Linked DNA regions of Arabidopsis thaliana. The protein of the gene in region 1 purifies or fractionates together with the protein of each later gene. This does not show direct contact. Each region holds a gene or a part of one and is shown in the gene's direction. Other genes may lie near its edges. The genes, in order: AT1G12380, AT1G28060, AT3G56790 and MOR1.

Region 1 (8,450 bases):
CAAAACTAAAGGGTTCACTTCATTATGCCGAAATGGAGCTCATTTATAAAAGAACAACCTGTGCTTAAGGAGGTAAATCCTCAGACCTGACATGAACATCCAACATAAGAACTAACTATGAACCTATAAAAGTGTTTTGAGAAGCCAATACGCACTATATATGTTCCTGAATTTACTCCTTTGATGATAACATTCCCAAAAATTACACCTTTACTTCTTCCAAACATGTGACAAGAACATAAAACCCTAATTCTAGCTAAATCACAGACTACCCAGAAACAAAAAAAAGGCTCCAAATGAATCAAAATGGACAAATATGGTATCATTATAACCGTAAGCGAAAAAATTGGCAAATTCCGATAGAAAAGTTAAGAACTTTGGGTTTATTTATCCTAGAAATTGGGAATCGCACCTGATAGACGATGATTCCGACAAGAGCGATGAGGAAGAAGAAGGAAATAAGCCATGTCCAGATATCTCCCATCTTCCTCCTTTTGGTTCCGACAATTTCCTCGGATCTATCCTCGTTGTTTCTTGGTCTTCTCTCTCTCTCTCTCTCCTCCCAATAATGTTCGATGAGGAACAGAGAGAAAGTTAGGACAACGACTTAGTGGTCGGCTAGTTTTGACAGTTGAGCTCGAGATTCTGATCGGAAACAAAGAAGCCTAGAGAAGGCAGGCACGAGACTCAGCTTCCGGTTCAGTTTCCGGTTAAAATCGAATTCGTTATTTCCCGAAGTACGTACCATTTACGCCGGTTTAATATTTCAGTATTATGAATCTATGATTTATAAGCCATTGGGCCTCTATAGATTTAGCCCAATTAAATAGTAAACAGTTTGGGTTTGGGCACGAGAGCCGTGTAATTTTTGTTGAGTCGTGTATAATTTTTTTTAGGTCATTGTCTTATTGTATAGTTTTAAGGAAATCAAAAATGAAAAATTAAAAACAAAAATGGTACCAGAAACCATTCAATCATGTGATTGAGAAAAGCCAGCTGTTTTCTAGTACGAAGAAAAACAAGCTTCATCTTTTCCATGTATTTTTCTTTCTTTCTTTTCTCAAGAACGGTGAATCCATAACTTATAATTGCAAGGATTAAGAGATTGAGATTATGAAGGATAGCATTTTGGAATTGTAATATGGTTTAGCTTAGTCGGATTTTCCTCACTAATTATAGATTCTGGCCTCTCTAGTGTGGTTCAATTAAGTTGTAAAATAAAGAAGCTATGTTAGTAACTAAATCCATCCAAGTTCAATAATCAAATAATTACTATCGCTATCAATGTAAAAGGTGGCATTATTTTTATTTCAACTATTATTATTTCTTACATGGTATATATATATTTATTTCGGGTATAACACGATATAGTGGAGTGGTTGGGAAAAGAAGTTCTCGTACAAGATTGTAAATCAAGCAATTTACGTTTGATACAGTAATAATCAATATCAGTATTTTTTTAACTGAAAGGATTGGCTCTTCGTTTTCACTAACTGGAAAATGAAGATTCAAATTTATAACATACCTATTTTCTGTCAACAGTTACTTATTTTTAGTTAATATATGCATTTAGGGACCAATCTTGAAATCTCATTCCACGTATGAAAAGTATCATGCAAAAAAGTATATATCAATTCTAAACATTTTATTTTCAAATTTCATTCACAAAATCAGCATTATTTTATTTAAGTGGAGATTAACGTAAGAAGTTACTTTGATATATTGTTACATTGTTTACATTGTAGACACCTTAAGTTAATAAAACGTATGACAAAGTGATGTTATTAATAGTTCTCATCACTATATTGCAAACGTCGTTTATCAAAAAATAAAATTAGAGGGCATAATCCATGGTTTTTGGGTGGTTGGTATGTAACAGACAAGATCATTCTTATAGATAGTACTATCCATCTTTTTAAGATAGGACTGCTCTAAATTATGTGGTAAGAAATTAATTTTCTGCCTTTTTATTATATAGATACAGTTATGGGTGGATTTTGTATATTAGACTTTAGAATTCATTGATCATTCATACATATAAGCATGCATACATGATACTTCTACATTAGAAGGTGGGAGACAGTTGTGACATGGATTTTATGACATTAGATATTGACCAATTAAAACTTGACTCCTACTAACCTCCACTTATAACTTTAATTATACGTTTTACTAAGAGAGATTTACAAGTTCAAGTTCAAGACACTTTTTGCATTGGAATAAGAGTAGAAAATCAAGGGTAAAATATAGAAAGACTTATGTGTGTGTGTGTGTATGTGTGTGTGTGACACATAAGAAATAGTCTTTGTTGTGGTTAATTAGCTGGAATAGTTGATCAAGAAAATGTGTTTTTAATATTCATTAGTATGAGTTTGTTCGCATTGATATGGTTTTATAGGTTGTATTAAATTATTCATAGATCAACGACATACTAAAGTAAAATTCTAAGTTTTTGGCTATGAGTGAAAAGCATGTGTACTTTGTTGGACTGCTACAGATTGGTTGGTATTTAGCTAAATGTGTCCATTGGCCAGTAATTTTATTTAGGTAAATATTGGTCCTCAGTCATAATTTTATTTAGTGTGTGTTCATGTTTTTTTGGGTTTTTACTTTTAACTAAAAAGAGGTAGAAGTTGTGAAGAGTACAAAGGATGTTGTTATTCATGAATCATGACTTCAAACTTCTAACGACGGCCAAGACACACATGATTCATGAACATTCATACAAAGCAAATGAAAGCAAAATTGCTATTGAGATTAACAAAAAGTAAAAAAATGGTTGGAATTAGTAGGAACCAAAAGTGTCGGTAAAAAAATGGAAGTTGTAAAAGGTTGCAGTCAAAAATAAACAACTTTCAACACAAACCAAAAAAAAATATTTACAAAGAAATGTACTTTATGAGTCAACAGAAAATGGTCAACACAACACAGTCTCTGCGTTAATGTCTTTCATTGTCTATCTAGAAACAAAAATTAAATTCTCACTCTACCCTTTTATGCCCAAATTCTGAACTCATCCCACGTAGACAATAGGACACAAATGGAAATCCCACTCACCCATTTTTTTCATTTTTGTAATCAAATCCAAAAAAAATGTTCAAAAAGTGTCTTCAACGTTCACATAATCTCTAACTAAATTCACAATAAGGATTCTATAAACCGAATTAATCATTTAGATTTTTTTAAAAACTCAGCCTATGTTAATAATTCTTTTTTTACCAAAACTTAGAGCCTTCAAAATTCTCAAGATCCCAATTTTGTTTTTTTATCCGTTCAACTGAAGTTACGAAAGTACATTACCATTGGTGGTTGAAACTGTATAGCACAAGAAAAACATTTATAAAGATTAAGAAGAGAAAAAATCTAAATAAAATGCATTAAATTAAGGTCCCAAATAGTTCCAATTTTTTTTTCTTTTAAATATTAAAGTAGGAGACAAGAAAAGAGATTTTCGAAAGAAAAAAAGAAACAAAAGTTGAAAGAAAAAAAACACACATAACAAAAACAATCCCCCAAAACCAACTTAAAGCGCGTGACTAAAACGCTCCAATGATGAGAAAGCGAGATAGACTACGAGCCAATGTAACGTTTGTGTTCTCGTACGACGTGGGACTCTCTTCTTTCACCTCCATGCGCGTGTGCTTCAACCTCCTCTGTAACTCTCTCTCTTTCTTCCATATTTCTCTCCTCTTCTTCTCCGCTCTGTCTCTTTCTTCGAAAAAACCATTCACAGTCAAGAACAAGAGCTCACTAGAAAGAAAAAAAACTAAAGAAGTGAGTAAAAATTTCATTTCTTCTGATCGCCGGAAAATGGCAGCGACGTTAAAGATCGTCGTCTTCCGGCGAAATCCTACTGCTGAAGAATGTCACACGTAAAATCCAACTCTCGCTTAAAACCCTTTTAGCAAGAGCCTCGAAATTTCCGATTTAGAAACTTTTTTTCTTTCTTGATGGCGACGACTAACGCTCACACGGCGACTCAACAGACACCACCACCACCACCTCCTCCTCCTCCAGCTCCTGCTCCTCCGGCGATGGATGGGTTAACAACAGACGAGCTAACAGCAAAAGCATTAAACAAGAGATACGAAGGTTTAATGACGGTGAGAACAAAAGCAGTGAAAGGTAAAGGCGCGTGGTATTGGACTCATCTTGAACCAATCCTCGTACGCAACACCGACACTGGTCTCCCTAAAGCCGTGAAGCTTCGTTGTTCTTTATGCGACGCCGTTTTCTCCGCCTCTAATCCTTCACGCACTGCCTCTGAGCATCTCAAACGCGGCACGTGTCCTAATTTCAACTCTGTTACTCCCATTTCCACCATCACTCCTTCTCCTACCTCTTCCTCTTCCTCTCCTCAAACTCATCACCGGAAACGTAACTCCTCCGGCGCTGTCACCACCGCGATTCCTTCTCGGCTTAACCCTCCTCCCATCGGAGGCTCTTATCACGTCACGCCGATAACCGTTGTTGATCCTTCTAGATTCTGCGGCGGAGAGTTGCATTATTCAACTCCTCCGCCGCCGCAGCATTTGATGCTCTCCGGTGGAAAAGATGACTTGGGTCCTTTAGCTATGCTTGAAGACAGTGTGAAGAAGCTTAAGAGTCCTAAACCGTCGCAGACTCAGTCTCTTACCAGATCGCAGATAGAGTCAGCTTTAGATTCTCTCTCTGATTGGGTCTTCGAGTCCTGCGGCTCTGTTTCTCTCTCGGGTCTTGAGCATCCAAAGTTTCGAGCTTTTTTAACACAAGTTGGTTTACCAATCATCTCCAAGAGAGATTTCGCCACCACGAGATTGGACTTGAAGCACGAGGAAGCCAGAGCAGAGGCTGAATCGAGAATCAGAGACGCAATGTTCTTCCAAATCTCATCGGACGGTTGGAAACCAGGAGAGTCCGGCGAGAGTCTTGTGAATTTGATTGTGAATTTACCAAACGGGACGAGTTTGTACAGAAGAGCGGTACTTGTGAACGGAGCTGTGCCGTCTAACTACGCAGAGGAGGTCTTGTTGGAGACGGTGAAGGGTATTTGTGGAAATTCACCTCAGAGATGTGTTGGGATAGTCTCTGATAAGTTTAAGACCAAAGCACTGAGGAATCTGGAGAGTCAACATCAATGGATGGTGAATCTTTCTTGTCAGTTTCAGGGACTCAACAGTTTGATCAAAGATTTCGTAAAAGAGCTTCCTTTATTCAAATCCGTTTCACAAAACTGTGTGAGACTAGCTAAGTTCATCAATAACACCGCGCAGATACGTAACGCTCACTGTAAGTATCAGTTGCAGGAACATGGCGAATCGATAATGCTTAGGTTGCCTTTACATTGCTATTACGACGATGAACGTAGAAGTTGTAGTAGTAGTAGTAGTGGTAGTAACAAGGTTTGTTTCTACGAGCCGTTGTTTAATCTTCTTGAAGATGTGTTGAGTTCCGCTAGAGCAATTCAGTTGGTAGTACATGATGATGCTTGCAAGGTTGTTTTAATGGAGGATCATATGGCTAGGGAGGTTAGAGAGATGGTTGGTGACGAAGGGTTTTGGAACGAGGTAGAAGCGGTTCATGCTTTGATCAAGCTTGTTAAAGAGATGGCTCGGAGAATAGAGGAAGAGAAGCTGCTTGTAGGGCAATGCTTACCTCTATGGGATGAGCTAAGAGCTAAGGTTAAAGATTGGGATTCTAAGTTTAATGTAGGGGAAGGACATGTGGAGAAAGTCGTTGAGAGAAGATTCAAGAAGAGTTATCATCCGGCTTGGGCTGCGGCTTTTATACTTGACCCTCTTTACTTGATAAGAGATAGTAGCGGAAAGTATCTTCCTCCGTTCAAATGTTTGTCGCCAGAGCAAGAGAAAGATGTAGATAAGTTGATAACAAGGCTTGTGTCTAGAGATGAGGCACACATTGCGTTGATGGAACTAATGAAATGGAGAACCGAAGGGCTTGATCCTATGTATGCAAGGGCGGTCCAAATGAAAGAGCGTGATCCGGTTTCCGGAAAGATGAGGATAGCGAATCCTCAAAGCAGTAGACTTGTTTGGGAGACGTATCTTAGCGAGTTCAGGTCACTAGGAAAAGTTGCAGTAAGGCTCATTTTCCTCCACGCTACGACTGGAGGGTTCAAATGCAACTCCTCTCTTTTGAAATGGGTAAACTCGAACGGGCGGTCACATGCAGCCGTTGATCGAGCTCAAAAGCTGATCTTCATATCCGCTAACTCGAAATTCGAAAGGAGAGATTTCTCAAACGAGGAGGATAGGGATGCAGAGCTTCTCGCTATGGCTAATGGTGACGACCATATGCTAAACGATGTTCTTGTCGATACGTCCTCAGTGTGACATTTGAATCTCTTTTTTGATCAATTTGATTTCACCTTAGTTTTTCATTAGAATTTGGCATTTCTTTAGGATTGTTTAAATTCATTTCTTTGATTTACTAGTATCTCATTCATACTATCATTAATATTCAATTTGTACTTGGTTTCTTTAGAAGGTGATTGAGAGTATTTGTATTTCTTTAGTCTATATAATATACCATCATAATTTTTCGATATAACATATGTGTCTATTTCAGTTTCTTGTCCTTATCATCGATGTATCGGTTAGAAGTTAGAAACTCTAATTAATGACAGCTTTTGCTTCTTCGTCTCTTGGTACAATAGTGTAATGATCCCACTCGCTTTTTTCATCGGAAATTCATATTCTTAATCATGACTTGAAAACATATCTTTACTTTTCGAGAGAAAATGACTTAACTTTTGAAAGTTTAATGTTCTTTCTTCATGATAACGTTTGTTGTTGGCAATGACAGACTAAAGATGCATATACTTTTGATATCTTGAGTTATTGAAGAGCAAAACCTGATTAACGGGTTTCAATTTAATTTTAACCATGATTATGATTATGAGATTATCTATCTATATCAATCTATTAAGTCTTTTAGAAGAACAAAAATGTGGATCCCCACCATGAAAGCAAGTTTTTCTTGGCTATTGTATACAAGTTCATTTTAAAGCTGTAAAAGGTGAAATTGTGAGATTGTAAATGTGAAGAACCCTTTTTGATGTTTATAAATGAAACCTTGTTAATCTTTTTGTAGCAAGATGTGTGATTTACCCATGATTTTTTTACGGCTATGAATAGTTGGAAAGGTTAAAAGATTTCTTCTTTATTTATGAGCCCATGGTATTGTACTTTGTGGGGTATTTAAAAAACTGTAACCCATGATTTATATTCTTGTAAATCATAACTTTATCAATAGTACCACAAATTTTGAAATCTAGTGGCAAGATTTCATAAATGGACTGACCGGACAGCTAAAGTGAAATTACACAAATTAAGTAAGAACAGTGAAAGCAAAGAGAAAACAAACAATTATTTCGAAATAGTAAAGAGAAATACAATTATTTAGATGCTATTTTTCCATTTAAGTTACAGACAAATAGATAAGTCAAGTACCTCTTCTTCTTTTTTACACACATGCTCATACACACACATACACACAAACAAATATGTACGACATTCTAAAACACTGTTATATTTAATAAGTAAGTTTCATACTTATGTATTGTTAAATAATAAAGTCGAATCTATATATAGGTTACTGATTGAAGGAAATATAGGTTTTCACTTAAATTATTTAAGAAGGAATCATTTTCATTGGAGTGGTAATTTGTAACTATGCTGAACAAGAGGGGAACCCTAAAAGTAGAAATCAATAATTAAATTTTATACCCCACAAATAGCAAAGTATACTACTTTTTTCTTTTATATACACTTTTTTTTTTCTCATTGTAAAACTTTGAACTTTCTAGCATGCATTATATTCACTTCGCCCACCTCCTCGAATAGTTGATCTTTAAAAAATCAAAACTTAAATTAGGTAATAGTTATAAGAAAATCTTAGAATACATCGGCTTTCACTTTTATTACTACTGCATGTACATCATCATTTCAATGAAAATTAAAAGACACAGAAACACAAGTTTTTTTTTGTCAATATATTAAATAATATGAGTTCATATTTCGTGGAAATAAGAGGGTAGTGTAATTATGTACTCATATAATTACAACCTAAATAAAGTTGTTGTAATTATTGGTTTGGTATTTTCACCATTTTGGTGGTGAGGCAGAATTTCCTGTCGGCAATGCTGACTTCTCACCAAATCTCTCTCGAATTATATGAATGTGTATTTGATTTTCTTTTTGCGTTAAAAGGTTTAAAAAAGCTAAAAGGAGAAAAGAAAATGAAGAATAATCTAAATGATTTGAAAGATAACAACATATTTTTTTTTCTACTACACAATAGTCAGTAAACAAACTTTAATGTTGTTTCAAGAAAACTAAAGTTTATGTTTCTCTCCTTTTAACCAAAAAAAAAAAAATCTCGACAGTACGATATTTGTTATACATACATATTTTTTTCAGCTTTGACAGATATATAGTAATTTTCAAGAA
Region 2 (9,549 bases), 5.6 Mb from region 1:
TTGTCTTTTAAGAAGAATTGTCACCTGCATCGGATCCCACGTCTGCAGAGCTATATGACATTCAAGCATAAACATTATACAACATCCACTACATGTATTATACACTAGAATAAACTGATTGTGGAATTTCGCCTGTGAGTAACTCTTTAAGTAGGGAGATTTATACCTTCTGAATTGGCCAACACAGCCAGAACCACCAAAGAAACAGCAACGAAGAACCACAGCCGCAGATCCGCTCGCCATCTGCGAACTGGACTTGGAAAACTTTGATTAACAGCCATAAGTCAGGGTTTTTAAAACAAAGAGTATCAAGGCGTATTAGCTTGTGAGACTTCAAAATGCTTGGATAGACATGTATATACTGTCAACAGAATATGGTTTTCTAGAAGGTTACAATCTTTTTTAAACTAGATAAGATTCCAAGGTACATAAAAGGGCCAGATAAGGCAATAAAACAGAAGGGCGGCCAGATGAAACGAGACCGGTCTGTACATTTATGAGGCAGTGGAAGTAAAAAAAGTAACTAAGTTTGTAGCTAAAAGGAAGCCTATGTGAAGAGACTTAAGGTTAAGGGTAAGGAGCTTCACTAGCTTTCACAAATCTGCCTCTGACACGCAACCTAGTGTCAGCTCTTGCCTTCCTCGATTCATACCTTATGGTCTTATCATATCTGTTGGCACCCGAGATCCAAGACAAAGGGAGAAACGAAATATGGTATCAGATTCTTTAAGGGAGATGGGCAATAAAAAATTATTAAAGGGGAAAGAAAAAAGCAGCATTTACCTCCGTGTCTTCCTCTTTTCCTTGTAACGCTGCATTGCATCTCCTCTGTTCTGAGCCAGCCGCTCCAGATCAGCCTTAGTTGCAACTAGTCTTGTGGTCTTACAACTAGTTCCAGCAATATGCTCTGTGAAATGCAAGTCACTGGAGGAGTTCGAACCTTTCTCAGAGCCAAAGGTAATTGGACGATTGTTGCTCTCAGATTTTGTTGGTTGTACCTGGCCTGAAGTTGATCGCTTGTAGTCATCCTGCAAAAGAATCCTAATCAGCATCACAGTTAAGTTGCATAGCAGTCTAGCAAATATATATCATAAGCCAAAATGTTAGAATTGGTGGCTTGGTGATGAGGTAAAACAAAGAAAAGCAAACCAGCTTGTAACTTTTTTCTGACTAGGTTTCATGTTCTGAATTCTATCATTCACTAAAAGAAGCAACTGTCTACAACAATTTTTGAGGATGAACGGGAGATGACAACGTATTGTGTTTTAAACACTACTCTACTTAAATGACTAAGGTTAATGAGAACTATTACCTTTTTAATCTCTTTGACACCTTTCACATTAGTGGAACAAGTTTCATTCATATGGTCAACAAAATTGTTGATTGTGAATGAAGAAGCAGCACCTTTCCCTACATATGCAGCTTCCACTCGACTCGTATCCTCAGGTCCCCGTGACTGTCCCAAGTTAAAATCCCATATCTGTATACAAGTTCACAACACAGGTTAAGAAACCTTTCATTTTTTTATCTTCTTGAGAAACCATAAAACCACACAGAGTGACTATATTTGACCTTACACAAAAACATTTCACCACTTAATCTCACTTGCTCATTAACAGAAAAAACTAAACTGTTCTTAGCCAAAAAAATCAAAAGAGAGATAAGCAAAACCTGAGAACTCTGGCCACCACTAGGATTAGTAGTAGTAGCATTCCACTGCTGGTTAACTCCTCCTCCTCCGCCACCATTGATCTCCTCAACATCTCTTGACCATTTCAATCTCTCTGACATCTCCGGAACCATAAGCCCCTCTCCTGCTTCTCCATCTCCATCTCCATCACAAGCACCCTCACGGTCACAATCACGGTCACGATCACCATCATCGCCATCACCACCGACAACACCACTCTTAAGCAACTCCTCAAGCTGCTTACACAATACCTGCTTATACCTCCCACAACTAGATCCACAAGATCCACGCTTCTTAAACGTCGTATCGCTGGGAACAATCAATTCATTAGATCCCAAAACCCAAGAATCCAACTGCATCCCGAAATTATCCATCATCATCGCCATCATCGGAACTTGATTCTCTTCATCTTTCCTCCCTTGCTCCAAATCAAGTCCCCATAAAGCAGCAAGCTCCAACGCCGATGGACAACCGGAAAAACCTTCCACGGCGGATCGAACATGAGCATCGGAAACTGAACAACTTCCGTGAACATCCCAATCACACTCCTGACACAAAATCAGATTATCGGTGAAACACCGAACAGAGACTGGCTCGTTACCGCAATTATCGCAGATCTGAGATCGCACGTGCTTCCTCGACAACAGATTCGCCGTGTGAACTTGCTGATCACAAGGCAAACACAGCTTCGCCGTATCGGCTCTACAAAACAAAACCGCCGTACGCTCGCCGCAGAAATCGCACGGTACTCTCTCCGAACTACTCATAACTGACTCTCTCTCAAAATCCCTAAAATTCGAAATCAAAATCAGAATTTATTTTCAGAGACTAAGGACGGTGAGAAGAATGATGACAAATCCATTTCTCACGTTTTTCATTTTGAACTCTTTTTTTTTTTGGGGGGCTTTGTCAAAATTATCTGCAAATCTTTTGGAATGAAGAAGACAACGAAGCTAATTATTGTAAACAGTTTGGGGTTAGGGATTTGTTTTTCTGTGTTGCGATGTATGGAACTTGTGTATGATGGATTGTTCAGATTGAGATATGTTGAGATCTGACGGTGTAAAAGCGTGCTGAGAGAGTCGCCATTGTTCAGACGGCGAAGCTTACGTTGACTGTGACAGAGAATCTAAGAGAAAATATCTAATCTGCTTTTTCACCTAAATATCTATTTTAACGTATAAAGGGAAAGTTAGTTCAAAGCACATGATTTTTATGGGATTAATTCTTTCCGTATATAGCAATAACTTTTTGATCAGTGTAATAACGGCTGGAATCGTCTTTTTCTGGAACTAGTATTTACGAACATTGCAGCGTAATGTATAGCATATATTTATGTGCATAATAAACTGCTACACACGAGTTCTTGACAAAAGATGTGATAAAATTAAAATCGTAAAGATATTTTAGGATTCATGTTAGATATTTTCTTTTTGTCCATAGACTTCAATAAGTTGTTTTTTTTTGTTTTGAAAAAAAGTATAACTTATTTGTAAAGTGCTATCATTCTGAGGTATAAATATCTTGAAAAAGTTCCTGGGGAGTGGTAACAATCGGAACGATTCTTGACTAACGCATTAAATTTCACGTGTTAGAGAGTTTGTGATTCAGACTATACATAATACAGTATATGAGCGGGTTTTTTCTTTTTTGAGTCAAAGCGGAATATATGCGTTATATACTTCTATATTTGAATTCTTGAGTTTTGATCGAATGTTTAATTTGTGGTCAACTTGTGGAAATCTCTTGGCAAAGAAATCTTATTTATCCAAAAAATAGTTGGTATGAAAACTCTTGGCAAAGAAATCTTGTTTATTCCAAAAATAGTTGGTATGAAGAGTTTGGATTTCTGCTTGTAAGAAAACTGCGACCTGACATCAAATATTTTTCTTTTTAAAGATAAATAGCTTGAATTTTCATATATCTCTATAGAAGATGAATCGTCGATTTTTTTTTTTTTAAGTAAAAGATGATATAAAAGCCCATTAGACTCAAAATTGAAGAACTATCTCAAGAAGGAACTCAAAAATGGGCTTCAGCCCATAAGGGAAGCTTGTAGTCCGGTGATTGGATTATATATCTTCCGGATCCGGTATCGTTTCGCTCCCTTTAGGATTTTTCCGGAAGGAACAAAAATCTGATTCAGAACTTGGTTTCGCTGGTCGTTTTGGTTCTAATCTGAATCGCTGGTTTATTCCGGTTGTGAATTTTCGTATATTTATAGGACCGGCGAATCAGAAGCAAATTGTTGTTAGGAATAAACCCTAAATTCTGCCATGGATAAGGAGAGATATTCCAGGAGCCACCGTGACGATCGTGATCGAGATTCGAGTCCCGACCATTCTCCACAACGTGAAGGAGGACGCCGCCGTGACCGCGATGTTGATTCGAAGCGTCGTGATTCAGATCACTACCGTTCATCGAGGCGCGGCGATAGGGAAGATGAGAGAGATAGGACCAAGGATAGAAGAGGGAGATCTGTAGAGCGAGGCGAGAGAGAAGGGAGTAGAGATAGGGAAAAGCATCACCATGAGAGGTCTCACGAAGGTAGTAAAGAGAAGGAATCGAGGAGCAAGAGGAAAGATAGAGAGGAAGAGAATGGGGCTAGGGATGGGAAGAAGAAATCTAGGTTTGCTGATGGGAATGGTGAGAGGAGGAGCAGGTTTGAGGATGTGGCTATTGAAGTTGAGAACAAAGATGCTCAAGTCTCTGAGGGTTCTGGGGCTACGAATCCAACCAGTGGCGTTACGATGGTGAGTTCTTTATACCTTTTCGTTAATCTTCTTTGTTTGCTACTTGCGATTTGTTCATGATTACCTCTAGTCTTCTTCGCTAGCTAATGCTTGCATTTTCTTTTTTTGTGCAGGGAGCCTCTACATATAGTTCTATTCCATCGGAAGCTTCTGCTGCCCCTAGTCAAACACTGCTCACTAAGGTATCTTCGATATCTACAACGGATGAAAATAAGGCTAGTGTTGTCAGATCTCATGAGGTTCCTGGAAAATCTAGTACAGATGGAAGACCATTGTCCACAGCTGGGAAAAGTAGTGCAAACTTGCCTCTTGATTCATCAGCGTTAGCAGCGAAAGCTAGGAAAGCACTACAATTGCAAAAGGGATTGGCTGATAGATTGAAGAACCTTCCTTTGGTAAGATGTACAGATATTCTATACTTTTTTGCGTTCATTCTTCTCTGAAAACTTTGTATTTGATAAATTGCTTTTCTTATTCTCTGTGCAGCTGAAGAAGGCTACTAAGCCAACTTCAGAAGGTAGCCCACATACCAGAGTGCCACCATCGACTACCACTCCTGCTGTCTCTACAGGCACATCTTTTGCTTCAACATTACCACATACTGGCCTTGCTGGCTTTGGGAGTATTGCCAACATTGAAGCTGTTAAGCGAGCCCAGGAGCTGGCAGCTAATATGGGATTTCATCAGGATCGAGAGTTCGCTCCCGTTATTAACCTATTTCCAGGACAGGCACCCTCAGATATGACTGTTGCACAGAGACCGGAAAAGCCCCCTGTTCTGCGCGTGGATGCACTAGGAAGGGAGATAGATGAACACGGAAATGTGATTAGTGTGACTAAACCAAGCAATCTTAGTACATTGAAGGTCAGCAATGTTAATTTGAATATCTTAAGTTTTCATGTTTTTCTTTATATGATCGAGCTTCTAAAGTACTTGGATTTTACAGGTTAACATAAACAAAAAGAAGAAAGATGCTTTTCAGATTCTTAAACCTCAACTGGAAGCAGATCTAAAAGAAAACCCCTATTTTGACACAAGGATGGGTATTGATGAAAAAAAGATTCTGAGACCTAAACGTATGAGTTTCCAGTTTGTTGAGGAAGGTAAATGGACAAGAGATGCTGAAAATTTGAAGTTTAAGGTATGCATTGTCTTTTGTATGGATTCTTTTTGACGATATTCTCTCTTGGTGGTCTTTTAGATGTCTCATTGTGTGTATTTCTGTCTTTTCTTTATAGAGTCATTTTGGTGAAGCAAAAGCGAAGGAGCTGAAGGTGAAGCAAGCACAACTGGCTAAGGCAAACGATGATATAAATCCAAATTTGATAGAGGTATCCGAACGTGTCCCGAGAAAAGAGAAGCCCAAGGAGCCAATTCCAGATGTTGAGTGGTGGTACGTAATTTCTCTCACCTTACCCTTTCTGTTAATGCTAAGTTGTTTTGTTTCTGATTTGACATTCACTTGGCATAACCTTGGTGGAAACAAGTCATCCTGCACTTAAAAACTGAACTTGTAACGATTGGAGTATTTGATGACTGTGATGAATCACCATAACAATAACTTTAGTTTGCTCTCAGCTACGGATGACATTCATATAATTTGTTTGGTGTTCTTGTTGCTCATGTTGGTTTAGGGTTGTTTGTTTGTTTTTTGAATTACTATCTAGTTTCGTTTAGGTGGGATATATACAATTAATATTTCAATTCTTTGATTTCTTTGAGTGTTCGCATATGTGCTTTAGTTTTCCACATACAACTTCTGAAAGTTCAATGGTTTTGTCATCAGCAACGGTGTGATTGGTAGTAAAATATGGTAACATGAATCTACTGATGATTATGATCTACTTAGTACCTTTCAATGCCAGCCCAAATAGTTAATCTAGCTGCTTTGTGCTCTGTCGTTTTGGTCTATTTTCTTGGTATATGTTCATGATGAGTCTTCTTAGTTCATAATTGTTTTATGTTTCAGGGATGCAAATGTCCTCACCAATGGCGAATACGGCGAAATAACTGATGGCACCATTACTGAAAGCCATCTGAAGATAGAAAAACTTACTCATTACATTGAGCATCCTCGTCCCATAGAGCCACCTGCAGAGGCAGCTCCTCCACCACCCCAACCTCTTAAACTGACAAAGAAGGAACAGAAGAAACTGCGAACCCAGAGGCGTCTAGCAAAAGAAAAGGAGAAACAGGAGATGATCAGACAAGGGTTGCTGGAACCACCAAAAGCAAAGGTGAAGATGAGCAACTTAATGAAGGTTCTTGGTTCTGAAGCGACCCAAGACCCAACAAAGCTTGAAAAAGAGATCCGCACAGCAGCTGCTGAGCGTGAACAGGCTCATACAGATAGGAATGCTGCCCGGAAGCTAACTCCTGCAGAGAAACGTGAGAAGAAAGAGAGGAAGCTTTTCGATGATCCAACAACGGTTGAGACGATTGTGTCGGTGTACAAGATCAAAAAGTTATCGCACCCTAAAACAAGATTCAAAGTGGAGATGAATGCAAGAGAGAACAGATTAACAGGGTGTAGTGTGATGACGGATGAAATGAGTGTGGTTGTGGTTGAGGGCAAGAGCAAAGCGATAAAGAGATACGGGAAGCTGATGATGAAGCGAATAAACTGGGAAGAGGCAGAGAGGAAGGAAGGGAATGAAGACGAGGAAGAAGAAGTGAATGGCGGAAACAAGTGTTGGTTGGTTTGGCAAGGAAGTATTGGGAAACCGAGTTTTCATAGGTTTCATGTACACGAATGCGTGACGGAATCCACTGCCAAGAAAGTTTTCATGGATGCTGGTGTTGTTCACTACTGGGATCTCGCTGTCAATTACTCAGACGACTAAATCCTCTCTCCCTCATATCATCATCATCACCTTGAAATGCGTTAACTATTTGGACATGTTATTGCACTTCTATGAACATATATTCCCCTGGTGTCTGGTATTTTAGTTTTTGAACAAGAAATGATCTGTTTTTTACTAGGTAAACTGTTTAAGGTTGATGATACAACATGAATTATCTGAGTCACAGCCAAAAAAGTACCATTGGTTAAGTATGATTATGACTTAAAACAAAACTATAATGTTTTAAAAATATCGAGGCCACTAACCGATAACATAATTATGTGTACAGTCAGAAGAATGAGCCGCGCGTGTAGATGGTTGGACGAAACGTGCGACAAGATGCGAGCCTGAGTGCTCAATATGTACCTGACAGCTACACCTCCTCCAGCTTTCTCTTTACCCAACAATTCTCCACCAACACGGGCGCGTGACCTCATGAAAATCCCCAAACTACCCTCAAACTCTGTTTTTTTTTCCTTGATTAAAGAGTCTTCCTTCGTGTTTTTCTTGTTTTCATTCCTTCCAAATATCTATCTCTTTTGTTTCTTCTTCTTCTTCTCCTCTGCTTTTGGAATCATTATAGTGATAAGAGGAGATGGCGGATATAACAGAATATCTAGAGAGATCGATGCAGAATTGTTCACTTATTGATCGGAGAAGTAGTATGGGAGATGGATTTGGTATGAGCGATGAACATATCCCGATCTCAGATAGATTCTTGGAGCTCAGTTCTCACTTCTCTGTTCCTTCTCATTTGGAACAGTGTCTTGATCTTAAGGTAAAAGAAAACTCACACAAAAAGAAACAGATTCCTTCCATGTTTCCTTATAATTGATCTTTCAATTTTATTTTGTTTTGTCTCAAAATGCTCAAAGGGTTTTGGTTTCAAGCTTGATTTGTAATTGTATGGCTAAACTAAACGCCTTAACTGATAATTCTAGTATTTTCTTTCGTTTTGGGGAATAAATATGTTTGAAATTGCTATGTAGCATCAAATTTTGAGATGCTGAGGTGGGGTTTTTGTTTATAGACAGGAGAGATTTACTACAGAAGCTGGAATAGTGGAATGAGAGTGAAAGAAGATCCGAGAAAATCGATGAGTCGTGGTAACTATGCAGACCAATCCAGTGGTGAATCGTCTGGAACAGTTTTTTCATCAGAAGAAGTTAGCTCGTATTATGAAAGCGAAGAGTCTTCATCAGAGTCGTCTCCTTCATCAAGAAAGTATCACAAAGAGGAACAAGACGAAGATGTTCTTGTGGTAGCTGGTTGCAAAGCTTGTTTAATGTATTTCATGGTACCTAAACTCTTTAAGGATTGCCCCAAATGTGCAACTCAGCTTCTCCACTTTGATCAACTTCACTCTACTTCTCCTTGAACCTATCTTTCGTTGTTGATTTTTTTCTCATTTCATTTTCAGTTTTCTTCACATAGATTTGAGGGTTGTCTTCTCTCTTTTTGTCTTTTAATCTCTTAACTCGTATATGTATAAACTAGTGTTCGTGTTGTGGCATTATATTTAAAGACAATGTCTCAAAGTTGTTGGAAAAGAAAAAAACAACAACATGGATTAGTGAAAAGCAGATCAGACTGTGTAAACTAAATAGATCGGATAGAAAAAACAAAACAAAATGTGGTTAATGGCTTAATGCAGATCCGGTGGAACAAGTGCTAGTGATTGCATGTGTTTTATGGGATTTACGTAATCGTGAGGTTGCTTGAATAGACTGGTGTGTTTTTATGGGACTAACTGATCTGTCAGGTTAATAATATCGATTGGTAATGAAAGGAGAGAGTCTTGAGAGTTTTGTTTAGGATAGTTGTTGCATAAAAGTTGGTCAATGAAGCTTAAGACTCGCGCGCTGCGTGGAAAGAAAATTTAAAAAGCATAATGATTGCAAGCATGTGATTTACCACAATTTCTGTTTCTTTTGTTTCCCATTTTAATTTATAAATCAAAAGTTAATCCTTGATTATTTTTTTGGTTTTGACCAAAATAAAAATGGCTTTATACAATAAATTATAATCGAACCATAATTGAATGGCATTTCCCCCTAACATTGTCAACTTTTGCAATCATACATATAATATATTGAAATAAAAATGGCAGTAATTCACAGCAACTACAGCTCACATTCAATGAACAACTTATACGATCAATTAATTATTAATGCAAACAATCAAAGAAGAATTATCATCAGAACTAGTGAGGCTCATTTCTGTCACATTAAATGTTTAATAATACTATATATGGAAAAGTCAA
Region 3 (6,120 bases), on another chromosome or scaffold:
ACGAAGAGAGGTCGCTAAAATCGGTTTGGCTCTTCATGATCACATCTGTCGCGACTTGATCGCAGAGACCGTTCGAGAGCTCTCCTTCTCTGACTACGACGACGACGAGTTTTATCAATCGCCGGTGGATTCTTCTGTTTGTTACGGCGGAGGAGGTAAAGGCCAACACATCCGACGTGGCAGCAGCAACTCTCTCCCATTCGACGCGTGTCGAAGAAGATTAGTGTTTTGATGCGATTGATATCTTTAGGTTCGTTGTGACGGTTATGGAAGTCATAGTTGCGACAATTTTCACCTATGACACTTGTTGTTTAAATTATTTTATAATTTTCTTAGCTTATTCAGAATTTAAGACATATCTTTCAATAGAGTGCAATTGGTTGTTTAGGGTTTAATGAATGATACACTATTTGCATTCAATATAAAAACTTTCCCTATTTGATGAATTCATGTATATACTAGTACTACATAGATTTCCTTAAATAAATGAATGATTAACAAAATCAGAAACAATATATTCATCTAGATACAGATATTAATGTTTTTTTTAATAACTCATCCTATATTTTAAAACTCGATCGTTTTCTCTTTATATATACCTTTCTTAAGTTACCTTATATACATAATTTAATCATAGAATTTATTAAGAAATTGATTAGACGTATCAATTATATCTTGAAGTGATTTTGATTGTTTGAAAACGAAATCTAATCTAATTAATTTGCAGGTGATATTGTACTTAAGTTAACAATAAAAGAAACTAATTATTTGTTTTCAATGGTGAGGAGGACTACTTAAATTCAAAAGCGAAGCCAATCATAAACAGACATCTGTACTGAGAGAGATCTCGAGGACCCAGCGAGAATGCTGACGTGACAGTCAAGTCAACGCTCCGCGTACAGACCGCGTGAACGTGTGATCCGTTTAATTGTCCACTCTGGCGTTTTATAAGAGAAAAGAAATCATTGATGATAGCATTAACGCAATTACAGTCATAATCCGAGGTTATAACAGAGATTTTTCCAAACCCGGTACGGGTTAAAAAAAAAAGCTTTTAAAGTCCCGGGTCGGAGCAAAAGTCGTTAATAGCTTCGTACCCGATAAATACGGTTGCTCTCTCGTTTTTTCCAGCAGAGACACTTTTTCTAATTTTCTCTTCTTCTTCTTCTTTCTCGTTTTGAGAGAAAACAAAAAAATTCTGAATCTACAGGTTTCACGAAAAGGAGAAGAAAAAAACAATGGCGGATCAGCTCACCGACGATCAGATCTCTGAGTTTAAGGAAGCTTTCAGCTTATTCGACAAGGATGGTGATGGTACGTTGTTGTTTTTTTCTCTCTCCCTCTCGCAATTTCAAATGTTTTTGAATACATAGGATTTTGCTACTGTTGGATCTTGGTGTCTAGCCATAACTGATTTGATTTCTGTTCTTCTTGTTGATTCAATTGATCTGTGTCGATGTAGATAATTAACGGATCTGTAATTCGTGATCTCTAGACTCGTTCCTTGTTTTTCAATTTTTGTTCGTTTGTTTCCTGGATTGGATTTGAATCGAAATTTGGATGATTGATGACTTGGAGATTTGCCAATTTGTTATCGATTTGGATTTAATTTTCCATCTGAATTATTTTATCTCACTTTAGATTTGAGAAGTTAATGACTAGAAACTGTTAATTGAGAAGTTTGGGATCTAGCTAAAATGCTTCTCTACAGAGAAACCTGCTTTGAGTTTCGTAATTGAAGATATTTGATTGAATTAGATTTACAGAGAAGTGAATGATGAACAAATTCTTGATTTGCTTGTAGGTTGCATTACCACCAAGGAGCTGGGTACTGTGATGCGTTCCCTTGGACAAAACCCAACCGAAGCAGAGCTTCAAGACATGATCAACGAAGTGGATGCTGATGGTAACGGTACCATTGATTTCCCAGAGTTCTTGAACCTTATGGCTCGTAAGATGAAGGACACCGACTCTGAGGAAGAGCTCAAGGAAGCATTCCGGGTTTTCGACAAGGACCAGAACGGTTTCATCTCAGCAGCTGAGCTCCGCCATGTGATGACAAACCTTGGTGAGAAGCTTACTGATGAAGAAGTTGATGAGATGATCAAGGAAGCTGATGTTGATGGTGATGGTCAGATTAACTACGAAGAGTTTGTTAAGGTCATGATGGCTAAGTGATGCTGTTTTAGAACCAAACAATGGCTCTATAAACTTGGTTTGCATCTCTTACATATAAATTCTTATGTTATGTTCTATAATTTTTATTCATGGGACTCGAGGTATGTTTTCTGCTTGTTTAAGACGCGAATGTTTTATCCCTTTTATGCTCTATTTTGCGTCTGAACATTTTCAAAAGTCTTGTTTTTTTGTTGTCTTGCTCCTGTAATTTGTAACCTTGGTCTAGTTCGCGGTTTTTTATTAATGGTGTCTCTCTAGTAAAGCATTGTATCATGGTTTTGTGAAATGCAAATTAGGTCCTATCAATGACTAAAAAGGTCAAAACGTGGTGTGGTGTGTATCATTAAAAAAATAGAAACCGACATAAAAGTTTCCAATTCGTGGTCGTTTAAGAAAAAGGAAAACGGCATAAAGTTTCCTATTCGTGGTTGAATTGGGATCATTCAATTGATGTGAATATAGGTAAAATACCTTTGTGTTTCTTTGTTCACGTTCGTTTCATACTTCCCCTAAATTTGTCTCATCATGGATAACAAGAAGCAGAGATATTCCAGGAGCATCCGTGACGATCGTGATGAGAGAGATAGGACTAAGCATCATCATGAGAGGTCTCACGAAGGAAGTAAGAGGAAAGATAGATCAGAGGAAGAGAATGGGGCGGCTAGGACGACAAACAAGAGTTCTAGGTTTGAAGATGTAGCTAGGTTTGAGAAAAGGCCGTATACTTGTTCTATTGCATCGGACACTACTTCTAGTCAAATCCTTGAAGCTGTTAAACGATTTCAGGAGCTGGCAATAGATACGGCTGTTGCACATAAACAGACCAAGGGCTTTTTTCTGCGTGTAGATGTACTTGGAAGAGAAATAGATGAGTATGGGCATGTGATTAATCTTAGTACATTGATGGTTAACAACAACAAACACAAGAAAGATGTTTTTCAGAATATTCTTAAACCTCCCCAACCTTTTAAATTGACAAAGAAGGAAGAGAAGAAACTGCAAACTCTAAGGCGTGTGGCAAAAGAAAAGGAGAAACAGAAGATGATTAGACAAGCGTTGTTTGAACCACAAAAATCAAAGGTGAAATTGAGCAACCTAATGAAGGTTCTTGCGTCTGAATTAGCAACCCAAGACTTCTTCTTATGAAGAGTTTCCTTCTTCTCATTTAACAGATTAACTATGAAGAGTTTGTTAAGGTCATGATGGCTAAGTGATGCTGTTTTGGAACCAAACAATGGCTCTAAACTTGGTTTGCATCTCTTACATATAAATTCTTGTGTTATGTTCTAATTTTTTTTTTGTGTGGGACTCGAGGTATGTTTTCTGGTTGTTTAAGAAACGAATGTTATATCCCTTTATGATCTATTTTGCGTCTGAATATTTTCAAAAGCCTTGTTATTTCTGTTGTCTTGCTCTTGTAATTTGTAACTTGGTCTAGTTCGTGGTTTTCTATTAAAGGTCTCTAGTGTCATTGTTTTTTTAAATGCAAATTAGGTCCTATCAATGGCAGTCAGTTTACGTTAAATTGATTTCCTAACGGGGCTCATTGAATAGCTTCAAATGATCAACGAAACAGAAGGCCAATAAAAACCTAAACACAAGAGAATGTGAAACACCTCAGTAGAAATTTTAATGAAACATTGAATTTAGTGAAGCATCAAATCATAAGATGTCCGCGAGTTTCTTCCAAATATTAGCAATCATTTAACAATTTGCTTTGTTTCTTATAATTTCATTCAAAAGAACTTCACATGACTTTGAACCTCTTGGCATCGAAGCTAAGTCCTCTTCAATCTGTTGCTTCGCTTCCACTTCACATGGATATGTCTTATAGAAGATTTTTGCCGTTTTCAAACAAAGCGCATGGTTCAGGAGATAACTCACCAGATCCTTATCTCCGTATCTCCCTGTGTACCCTTTCCACTCTAGAGCTTCAAGACTGGACAACAAACATTCGGGAACCAAACTTGGCGGTTCCCAACGACCCAACGGGGTTAGTAAGTAAACCTGCGATCACGAGAAAAAATGGTAAAACTGCTATTAATAATAAGATCATTGAGGTCGAATATTAAACACTAGTATAAATTACAATGGTAAAGGAAAAAAGGGAGAAAACTGAATACATGTTCAAGCTTGAGGACCACCAATTTAGTGAAACATAGGAGCAAATCTACAAGCATTTCCACAGATCTTTCACTACATATGCTCAGCTCCAGATGCACGATTCGACTGAAGGTACTTGCATCCTAGAAAAAAAAGAAAAAAAAAACACGATATTTCATTTATGTGATGGTTCCAACAAGATATAACACGAGAAAGAAACGACATGGAATGAAAAAAGTTACCTCTAATTTTGATGGAACTCCGAGCCTAACCCGTACAATATACCGGTAACGGCTTGCATATGCCAACTCTTGAATGCTGAAGTACTTGAAAGAAGGTGCGATAATCGCAAGCTTTCGAGTGTAGTTTTTCATCAAACTAAAAATATGCTTGGAATCTGCATCGACTCTTGTGATAATCGACAATCTTTGTAAGTAAGGCATGTCGATATCCAAATTCAACAAAACATCACTGGTTTTTTCTTCCAGTGTTAGGTCGGAGAGAACAGGGCAATTGGATAAAAGCCGACAAAAGGAATCATTGTTAAAGTCCTCCATGCGGGCAACATGGAGAGTTTTGAGGAGTGGGAGACATACCGCGGAAGAAGAAGAAATGCTTATCACATCCTTCAAGCCTTCGAGTTTCAAGGCCATAAGTGTTTTACACCAAGAAACGTCGTACTCAGCAAAAAAGAAACGAGATTCTCTTATGACCATTAGGTCAGTAATAAAATTGCAATTGGATAAAAGCATTTGAAGGGATCCAAAGTCGAATAAACTCGAGTGGTCAATGTGCAGAGTTTTTAGGGATGGGAGAGAGACCGTTGTAAGAGGAGCTTCCACATCGATCACTATACCTTTGAGTTTCAAGACAACAAGTGTTTTGCAGGTAAACAATTCAGGAGGTAATACGGTATGGACAATACAAGCATCTATCTCTAGCTCACGGAGGTGGCAATGATGATGATGAAGCGCGGTTCTAATCCATGGTCCAATGTCTTTATTCCACAGGGTCACACTTAATTCGACATGAAGGCTTTCTAGAACATGAGATTGGTGTGAGAACAGAGACTTGTCGAGAAATCGTTCAAATCTAGTGTGATCCCGAACATCGTACTTGAGTATAGGCACCCTTGTCCAAAGAGATTTCCATTTTTTTGACAAAAGACTTGTCACTACAACATGTTTAGTAGAAACGAATGACAAAATCTTCAAGATCAAATCGTCGGGCAACTCGTTGATACATGAACAAACCTTCTTTGTCATTGTCTCTGTTTAGGTCGAAAAAACATTAGACTATGTTTAAAACCCTAATTACAAATAACTTGTTTAGGTCAAAACTCTTTATTGCTTATCAAGTTTCTCCAATAACTAATAAATATAATTTCCAACTAATACTTACGAGATTTCGTGCGAGGTAGATTCTGAAGATCTGGAGTCTGGAGTCTGGAGTCTGGACGAAGAGGATTCACCGGAGTTATGAGATCTCACAAACCCTTCGACTTCCCCACAAAGAAGAAGATAACCAGTTAGTATGAACTTAAACCGATCTGATTAATGTTCTGGTTCAATTTCTTGGTTCAATCATATCCCTCGGTGTGTTTATATGGGCCAAGTAGAAAACAGAGTCTTAAAGCCAATTAATTTCCTTCTTTTCAATAGAAAAGGATAAAAAATCCATTACATAAAAATGCAAATGAGAAATATCAAAATTGTGCTTTCAATAAATCCCCTTTTAAAGAAGAAGAAACATAGAAGTTGTTGATGTGTTGTGTAGATATACTAACAAATTTTTTATTAAAGTTTGATATGATATTATTTGGTAAAAGATATATAGTAA
Region 4 (7,967 bases), on another chromosome or scaffold:
TGGTGAGAGTAGATAGCAGAACAACAAATAGCAGATCCTAGAGAGGCTAAGAAAACAAATCCACTTGGAAGAACGAGGAAAAAAACCACGTACAGGTTTTTCAGCCCGGACAGGTTTCCTATTTCACTTGGGATTGTCCCAGTGATGTAATTATTCTGCAAGTATCTGCAAGGAATAAAAGGACAATAAATTATAAAAGATTCACAACGATTCTTGTCAACTAGCTAAACTTGTGACTGAGTTTATCATCACTCACAAGACGCATCAATATTATGCACCAACTATATAGAAGCAAATAAAGAAAAACACTAGTAATTGTTAGGAAATAATATAAAATTTGGAAAAACAAAACGAGAATTCGATCAGCAATGAAGTGTAATCACACTAATCAGCATAAGTATTTGGGAAAGCCCTTACATTCCCTCTAATGCCGTGCAATTTCCCAATGAGGCAGGTATTGATTGATATAACGCATTGTTGTGAAGCATTCTGCAATGACATGGGAATACACATACAATGAGTAGTAGAGCATATGCTAGACATCAATAATATTAATTAAAAGGTTAGGAGCACATACAAAAGCCTTAACTGATCCAGCTTTCCAAGCTCAGGGGGTAAAGGTCCCCTTAATTTGTGATAAGTAAGACTCCTGCACACAAGAAACTTCAGGAACCGACAAAAGATGCACCACATACTGAAGAAAAAAAAAGAATTTAAACTAAAGAAATTTTAAACTTACAAGGCTATAACTCTTTTTGTTTTTGCATCACAGGTCACTCCTTTCCAGTTACATGGATCAGGATCCTCTGGTCTCCACAGACCAATAACACCATCAGAAGCCAAAACTCCATTTCTAAAACTCAAAAGCGCCTCACCTGGAGAAAAAAAGGATTTAATCCCTTCAGCAATCTGGGCGGAGTAAATGGTGATCATGACTTGTCAAAGACAAAATATAGAAGAGATTAAAGACACATATCGCTGTATACCATCAGGACTAATTGCTTCATTTTCATTCGTTAGTGCAGAGAGAAACGAGATCAAAAGAAACCATGAGCAGCAGCGCTTCATTAGACAGATGCCCATTATGGCACCGTTCAAGCATAATATAGCTACTGCCAATCATCTGAAAGAACAGCCTCCGGAATGCAACACTCGTAGCATATACTCAGCTGCTCCGTGACGCCCAGTCTATCTTCAAGAAACAAAAAGAGACTCCTGAAGTTAAATAAAATAATGTCATTAGACCGTACAACAATAACAGCTGACCCTCATTTGAAACTCTATCAAGCCTCGATCTTCCAATAATCAGACAACCAAATCCTCAATTACAAATCAAGCGTTCCACAACATCGATGCACAACATTTGCATGGTCTCATTAACAATTACAGCACCCAGAACAGTGAGATTATCTAATCGGATCAAATCCACCTCCCAAATTTGCAAAATCAGAAATCGAACCTTCAGAATAAAACCCCAACTCATTATTTAAAGAGGAGCTCGGATAGCTAAAATCGAACTTAAATCACGAAATTCGGAGGACATCATTGCAATCACAGCACAAGAAGAACTGAAGAGTCAACAAAACCATTCAATAATCTAAAAAAACGAAATCGATTCGCCGATAACTCAGACCAAAATCTCACTTCCCCCAAAAAAATGGCGAAAGAGAATGGGAATTTACACGAACCTCAAAATGGATCCGCGAGGAGGAAGATGAAGATGAAGAATAAGACAGAGGAAGAAGACGCAATTGAGCTGTAAAGCAATGTCTTAACTAACAACTTTTTTTTTTTTGTTGTTGTTGTGATTTATGAGAGAGTGAAGAGAGAGAAAGTAGAGTGTGCAGTGGAAATGTGAGATACTTTGGAGAAGGAATCGGCTAGTTACGAGTTTACGACCAATGAGAGAGGAGAAGTGGAGACCACACGTGCCGATCATGACTTATTACACGTGTCGACCGACGCATTGTATAATGCCAGAACTGGACAAGGGCTTGTTGGGTCAGTTAAAACATCGTTATTGCGTGGGCCTACTAAAGCCCATTGTTATTTATTTGGAAGCGTACTGTACTTTACTATCTTTAGGGACAATTCTTGTATTTTCAGCTTTAGCGGATCTTATTCACCTAAATCAAACAAACAAGTGTACTTAAAAATGGAACAAACAATGGACTGATAATCATTATTTCATTTGCTTTTATAATAGAAATCAAAATATTAATATTGGATTCAATCTTTCCACGTAACTTCTTGTTTTGGTAATTTCATCTATGATTCTTATAAATTTGGTACCATTGTAAAAATATGGCTTAAATTTGAGTTGTTGTTTCATGTGTTAGCAGTAGACAAGAAAAGATATCTGGAGATAGAGAGTTACATCACCTAAGACATGAGGATGGAGATGGAAAAGGTGTAAGGTGTGGTGTGGCTTAAATATTCTTGTACTAATTATCAATCAAAGTTTGTTTGAAATTTGAGTATTTGTATTCTGAATTTGAATTAGATATTTCAAATATATTAAAATCCAAAGCGAAATCAGATCCTAGCATAAATATTTAGGATATTAAAATAATAAATTTTAACTAGTTTTTAAATCATAAAATACACAATGTTTTTGAACTTCCATAATCAAACTAATAAATCCATTTTGGTTTACGTGTCTAGTTTTATAGAAAATGACTATTTATTTGTATTTTATAGAAGAAAAGATAATCCAATAAGTAAGTAATAATAACTCATGATTTTGTTGATTTTTTAAAATAAATATTTTTATAACTAAAAATGAGTTATTCATTTCAAAATATTACTTTATTTTCTTAGAAATTAATAGATTGTTAATGTAAATATATTTTGAAAATATTTACAGAACCAACAATAGGAAAATTCAGTACTGTTAATCATTTCCTAAAATAGTTTGAAAATGCCGATCTCTCCACGTGGAGAAAGCAAAAGAAAAACGCTCGTTTTAAGATTTGAAATAATCGCGCGTGTAAACATTTCCAATCAAAACGCGCGTGAAGGGTTTTTAACAAAAAAATTACACCACCGATTTAAACGTAGAAACCAAAATTCCCCCACTCTCTCTCTCTCATTACGCTCCACCCTACTCTTCTTTTTTGTCCTTCTCTCTCTCTCTCTTGCCGGCACTAACAACACGAAGAAATTTTTTTGAAAAGAGAGAGAAAGTTTCCAAGAGACCGTACGAAGAAAAAAAAAACTTGGTATAGATCGATAAGATCGATACCGTCGGAGAGATAATTTCGTGGAGTAATGTCGACGGAGGATGAGAAGTTATTGAAGGAGGCGAAAAAACTTCCTTGGGAGGATCGGCTTGGGCATAAGAATTGGAAAGTTAGGAACGAAGCTAACGTCGATTTAGCTTCTGTTTTTGATTCGATTACTGATCCTAAGGACCCTCGTCTTCGCGATTTTGGTGAGTTTCTCTACCTCGTTTTTTTATTATTATTATGTTAGGGTTTTTGTTTTTGAAGCTCAGATCTGATTAGGGTGGTTTATATCGGTGTGGATCTGTTTTGAATTTGGATTGTTGAGTGGGAATGTGATTGGTCTAGGGTTCCATTTTGCTTTACTTTTGATTGAATTTCTGATTATTATTTTTTATTCGCAGGTCACTTGTTTAGGAAGACGGTGGCAGATTCTAATGCGCCGGTGCAAGAGAAAGCGCTTGATGCATTGATTGCGTTTTTGCGAGCAGCCGATTCAGATGCTGGAAGGTATGGTGTTGTTTATTTTTATTGCTTTAGAAATGGGCAGAGTGGAGTGTTCGTTTGCATGTGAATAATTAGTTTGTTTCTGCTTTTGAAGGTATGCAAAGGAAGTTTGCGATGCTATTGCGCTCAAATGCCTTACGGGTCGGAAGAATACTGTGGACAAGGCGCAGGCTGCTTTCTTGCTTTGGGTAGAATTAGAGGCCGTCGATGTTTTTCTGGTATGTCATTCATTCTATGTTTTTGCAACACTGCTAGGGTTATCTAGACACATACGGTTAACCCTTGCACTCTGATGTATAGGTTCACCATCTAGCCATAGAGTTACTTGCTAGATTGCTGATACTGGTATCTGAAACTAGATAGGTGAGCTGACATAGAAATGAAAGTGCTTTATAACCCAGAATTCAACCATATACTGATCTTAGAAGGAGTGACGTAGAATATAGCATTGTGGCTCTTTGTCCAGTTCTGTGTTATGCTAGGTATCTAGTGTGGCATAGGAAAAGAGCAATTTAAATAACGATGACTGACAGATGTCCTGAGCATCCTGTGTTCAAGGTCAAGAAACAGAATCAACTTTCTGGGGTCTGTTCCTATAATCACCCTCTTCAGTAACCAACATTTCCAGTTTTGAGTTGTTGTCACCGTGTCTCAAGCTGTTGGACTTCTGCTATGAATAATACTTATTTCTGAAGGAGAAAGGAATCTAGATACCTTCTTTATTGTTGTTTTCAAGATATCTACCATAGTGTTTTGTTCAAAACATCATTTCCTTCAGAAGTTTTAATTCACTTCCCAAGTATAAAGTTGCAATAACTCTACTTGATATGCATTGTTTCAGTCATTTCAATTTTCAACTGCCAACAAGATATATATTGGGAGACTGGGAGTTGTATAGTTTATAGGATAACATCGTTTTTATACATGCTAACAGATTTGGCATGATTGTAGGATACGATGGAGAAAGCTATAAAGAATAAAGTTGCAAAGGCTGTGGTACCTGCAGTAGACGTTATGTTTCAAGCTCTAAGGTCTGTTTTCAACTCCTTGTTAGTTTTCTCCATTGGTTCATGAAATCTTTTATCTGAAATATCGACGCTACTTTATTTCTACCTTAGTGAATTTGGATCAAAAGTTATTCCACCTAAAAGGATTTTAAAGATGCTTCCTGAACTTTTCGACCATCAAGATCAGAATGTCCGTGCATCTGCCAAAGGAGTGACTCTTGAGCTATGCCGTTGGATTGGAAAAGACCCTGTAAAGTCTATATTGTTTGAAAAAATGAGGGATACGATGGTAAGATTTATGTTGAGCCGCACATTTGCAACTTAGCTATGCTGCCAAGTTGATATGAACTGGATTAAATCCTCTTGATTTTTCTTGGAATTGGAAAACTGAAACAGGGGTTTCTAGTCATAACAGATAGATAGATGATAGATCCCATTGCGGATAAGAACCACACCTTACCTGTAAATTCTGCCCATGATTTGCGTTTTTCTTTAATCAGTGGAAGAAGTTACACTTGAATTTTTATTTATTCTCTTGTGCTTTGTTGCAAACCCTAATATTCCGTTTCATTGTTACTATGTAAGAAAAAAGAGCTGGAGGCTGAGCTTGCCAATGTTACAGCGGGTGCCAAGCCTACTCGAAAGATAAGGTTACTACCACATACGATAATAATTGTTTAATTTTCCTAATTATTCATTGGCACATACATCTAATATATTTTGACATTTATTGGTAAGGTAAAACCAGATCCAGTTTCACCGTAATTCAGCCTATGCTTTGTGAATACTCAATGTGCCTCTGTCAAATTTCTGAATAATTGAATTGATATGCATGAGTATTTCTTTTTGGTTTCAAGACCTTTTTCTAGCCTGTGTGAATTTTAAAGTTGAAAAAGTAAAGCTGCAATGAGATTATTTCTGTATTTGGCTTTCAAGATCTGAGCAAGACAAGGAACCAGAGGCAGAAGCTAGTTCTGATGTTGTGGGTGATGGGCCCAGTGAAGAAGCTGTTGCTGACGGTAAGTAGCTTGTACCTCAATGAATTGTTCTTCATCAAGTAATAATGAGAAGTCTGCTTACATTGTTTTTTCTTTTATCTACCCGTACTATCAGCGCCTCAAGAAATAGATGAGTATGATCTTATGGATCCTGTGGACATTTTGACACCTTTGGAGAAGTCTGGGTTCTGGGACGGAGTGGTGAGTTTTGATGCTTAATGCACATTTTACTATGTTTTATTTCTTGTGGTTGTCTTTCACTGAAAGAACTTTTTTATACTATACCACTTACTTCTCATGTTGATTGCATGTGGCACATTACACTAACTAACGATGTATCCCTTATAGAAAGCTACAAAGTGGTCCGAACGTAAAGAAGCTGTTGCAGAGCTAACAAAGCTTGCTTCGACTAAAAAGATAGCTCCTGGTGATTTTTCAGAAATTTGTCGGACTTTAAAGAAGGTAGTTAACTTTCCATGATAAGAAGTTTAGGCAGCATTGATTATATGTATATGTTATAATCCTTGTTATGTTTTATTCCGTAAGTGGAATATTATCTAATTGGTGATGATGCAGCCTGCAAACATCTGTGCTTATTGATTAATCTGAAGTTCGAAGTTCATGCGTTTCAAAATGTTTTCTGGTCGCAATCATAGTTTGTGGATGCTGCTATTGTTCAGGATTCAATACTGCATAACTAATTTTGCTTTCGTTTTGATAATATTTGTAAATATTTCCAATTGCAGCTTATCACGGATGTGAACTTGGCCGTTGCAGTTGAAGCTATTCAAGCCATTGGAAATCTTGCATGTGGTTTAAGAACACATTTCTCTGCTAGTTCACGGTTTATGCTGCCTGTTTTACTTGTGAGTCATGTAGCATCTTTGATCGAAAAGTATAATTGGAGGAAGACGCTTCCAGTCTTATGAGTGTTAATACTATTTCTTAGATATTAATGGGCTTAAGTAGCTGACTTGGTTTTAGTCCAGGAATTGATACAAAATTGCTGTCTGTTTGTTCCTTGAACAGGAAAAATTGAAAGAGAAAAAGCAATCAGTCACAGACCCACTTACACAAACGCTACAAACAATGTACAAAGCCGGGTGTTTGAATCTTGTTGACGTTATAGAAGGCAAGAGTCAGTTTATCTTGGATTTTATTTTATGAAGCTCTACTGATTTGCTTATGATTATCTTTTTTAGATGGCGACCAATTTTGCTTAAGCATCTGTCTTTCATCAGTTTCCAATCAACTTTACTCTCTTTTGCAGATGTGAAGACAGCAGTGAAAAACAAAGTTCCACTTGTGCGTTCTTCAACTTTGACCTGGTTGACATTCTGCCTTGAAACAAGTAACAAAGCTCTTATTCTAAAGGCTCACAAAGAATATGTCCCTTTATGTATGGAGGTTAGTTTTCTTGCGCCAAATGGCTCCTAATAATACTTTGACTGAACTTTAAAGCATGGCACTGTTAGATTAGCTATATGCAACAAGTTAGTGCTAAAAAGACAGACAACGTATGTCATGTTGCAGTATTATGATTAGTTGGTGTAGCGAAAGCCTGGAGTTTTGATTGCAGTTACCCCTTCTAAGTTTGAAATTAATCAATGGTTTGAACTTATAACTTAATTGGATGCCTGAAATTTGTAATGATGTAGTGTCTCAACGATGGAACTCCTGATGTGAGGGATGCAGCATTTTCGGCTTTGGCTGCAATAGCTAAGGTATTAATTTTATATTGTGCTTTGTAACAGCAACCTTTTTGCGTTGTTGTCTGTGGTACATTAATGTTGTACACATGTTAGAATATGTGGATAAATGAGTATCGTTTACTTCATGTTTTACTATTCCCGTTTGTTTATTATCTTTTGGTTATTTTAGTCTGTAGGTATGAGACCTTTGGAAAGGTCGTTGGAAAAACTTGATGATGTTAGAAAAAAGAAACTTTCAGAAATGATTGCAGGCTCTGGTGGTGGTGACCAAGCTGGTACAAGCTCAGGTTTGTGGACTTTTCGTACTCGTTAGCTAAACATCAAGTTTTGTTTGCGGGGGTTTTCCCATTCTAATTGGATGCTCTTTTCATATTAAAGTGACAGTTCAGTCTTCAGTTGGGAGCACAGCCACAGGGGTACGCTTCTATCTATATCTTCAGGGTCAAATAATATTTAGTTCTATAAAACGTTTTCTCTTCCCCTTTTGATGGGATAAGGGTAGGGCATCTGGGATGTGGA

Evidence for each region.
Region 2: the proteins of AT1G12380 (region 1) and AT1G28060 fractionate together in Arabidopsis thaliana (co-fractionation; one large-scale study listed by BioGRID). This does not show direct contact.
Region 3: the proteins of AT1G12380 (region 1) and AT3G56790 fractionate together in Arabidopsis thaliana (co-fractionation; one large-scale study listed by BioGRID). This does not show direct contact.
Region 4: the proteins of AT1G12380 (region 1) and MOR1 fractionate together in Arabidopsis thaliana (co-fractionation; one large-scale study listed by BioGRID). This does not show direct contact.

Annotation. Positions count from the first base shown.
Region 1 is NC_003070.9:4,212,381-4,220,830, reverse strand, and holds AT1G12380 (uncharacterized protein), read left to right. Parts: upstream 1-3,418; 5' UTR 3,419-3,950; coding exon 3,951-6,332; 3' UTR 6,333-6,573; downstream 6,574-8,450. Other genes in the region: AT1G12390 (Cornichon family protein), read right to left, coding at 413-484.
Region 2 is NC_003070.9:9,775,201-9,784,749, forward strand, and holds AT1G28060 (Pre-mRNA-splicing factor 3), read left to right. Parts: upstream 1-3,650; 5' UTR 3,651-3,782; intron 3,783-3,802; exon of another isoform or gene 3,803-3,914; 5' UTR 3,915-3,966; coding exon 3,967-4,443; intron 4,444-4,556; coding exon 4,557-4,838; intron 4,839-4,929; coding exon 4,930-5,307; intron 5,308-5,389; coding exon 5,390-5,584; intron 5,585-5,681; coding exon 5,682-5,836; intron 5,837-6,412; coding exon 6,413-7,286; 3' UTR 7,287-7,666; downstream 7,667-9,549. Other genes in the region: BBX13 (B-box type zinc finger protein with CCT domain-containing protein), read right to left, coding at 568-670, 784-1,028, 1,313-1,480, 1,672-2,457; AT1G28070 (ATP-dependent RNA helicase), read left to right, coding at 7,882-8,064, 8,317-8,664. UniProt on the Arabidopsis thaliana protein: Functions in the RNA-directed DNA methylation (RdDM) pathway. Acts as a pre-mRNA splicing factor, likely by affecting Pol V transcripts. Affects DNA methylation of transposable elements (TEs) and preferentially influences NRPD1- and ROS1-targeted loci.
Region 3 is NC_003074.8:21,031,039-21,037,158, reverse strand, and holds AT3G56790 (RNA splicing factor-like protein), read left to right. Parts: upstream 1-2,703; coding exon 2,704-3,324; 3' UTR 3,325-3,382; downstream 3,383-6,120. Other genes in the region: AT3G56810 (uncharacterized protein), read left to right, coding at 1-232; CAM3 (calmodulin 3), read left to right, coding at 1,239-1,314, 1,805-2,178; AT3G56780 (FBD, F-box and Leucine Rich Repeat domains containing protein), read right to left, coding at 3,883-4,185, 4,302-4,424, 4,524-5,546.
Region 4 is NC_003071.7:14,963,558-14,971,524, forward strand, and holds the start of MOR1 (ARM repeat superfamily protein), read left to right. Parts: upstream 1-3,016; 5' UTR 3,017-3,270; coding exon 3,271-3,433; intron 3,434-3,628; coding exon 3,629-3,734; intron 3,735-3,825; coding exon 3,826-3,949; exon of another isoform or gene 3,950-4,253; coding exon of another isoform or gene 4,254-4,316; intron 4,317-4,682; coding exon 4,683-4,762; intron 4,763-4,849; coding exon 4,850-5,027; intron 5,028-5,323; coding exon 5,324-5,388; intron 5,389-5,674; coding exon 5,675-5,757; intron 5,758-5,851; coding exon 5,852-5,937; intron 5,938-6,084; coding exon 6,085-6,198; intron 6,199-6,482; coding exon 6,483-6,602; intron 6,603-6,765; coding exon 6,766-6,868; intron 6,869-7,006; coding exon 7,007-7,143; intron 7,144-7,394; coding exon 7,395-7,460; intron 7,461-7,617; coding exon 7,618-7,735; intron 7,736-7,826; coding exon 7,827-7,864; intron 7,865-7,967. Other genes in the region: FEI2 (Leucine-rich repeat protein kinase family protein), read right to left, coding at 94-165, 418-489, 578-649, 740-875, 987-1,083. UniProt on the Arabidopsis thaliana protein: Microtubule-binding protein that is essential for cortical microtubules organization and function. Essential for maintaining the interphase cortical array and for correct morphogenesis.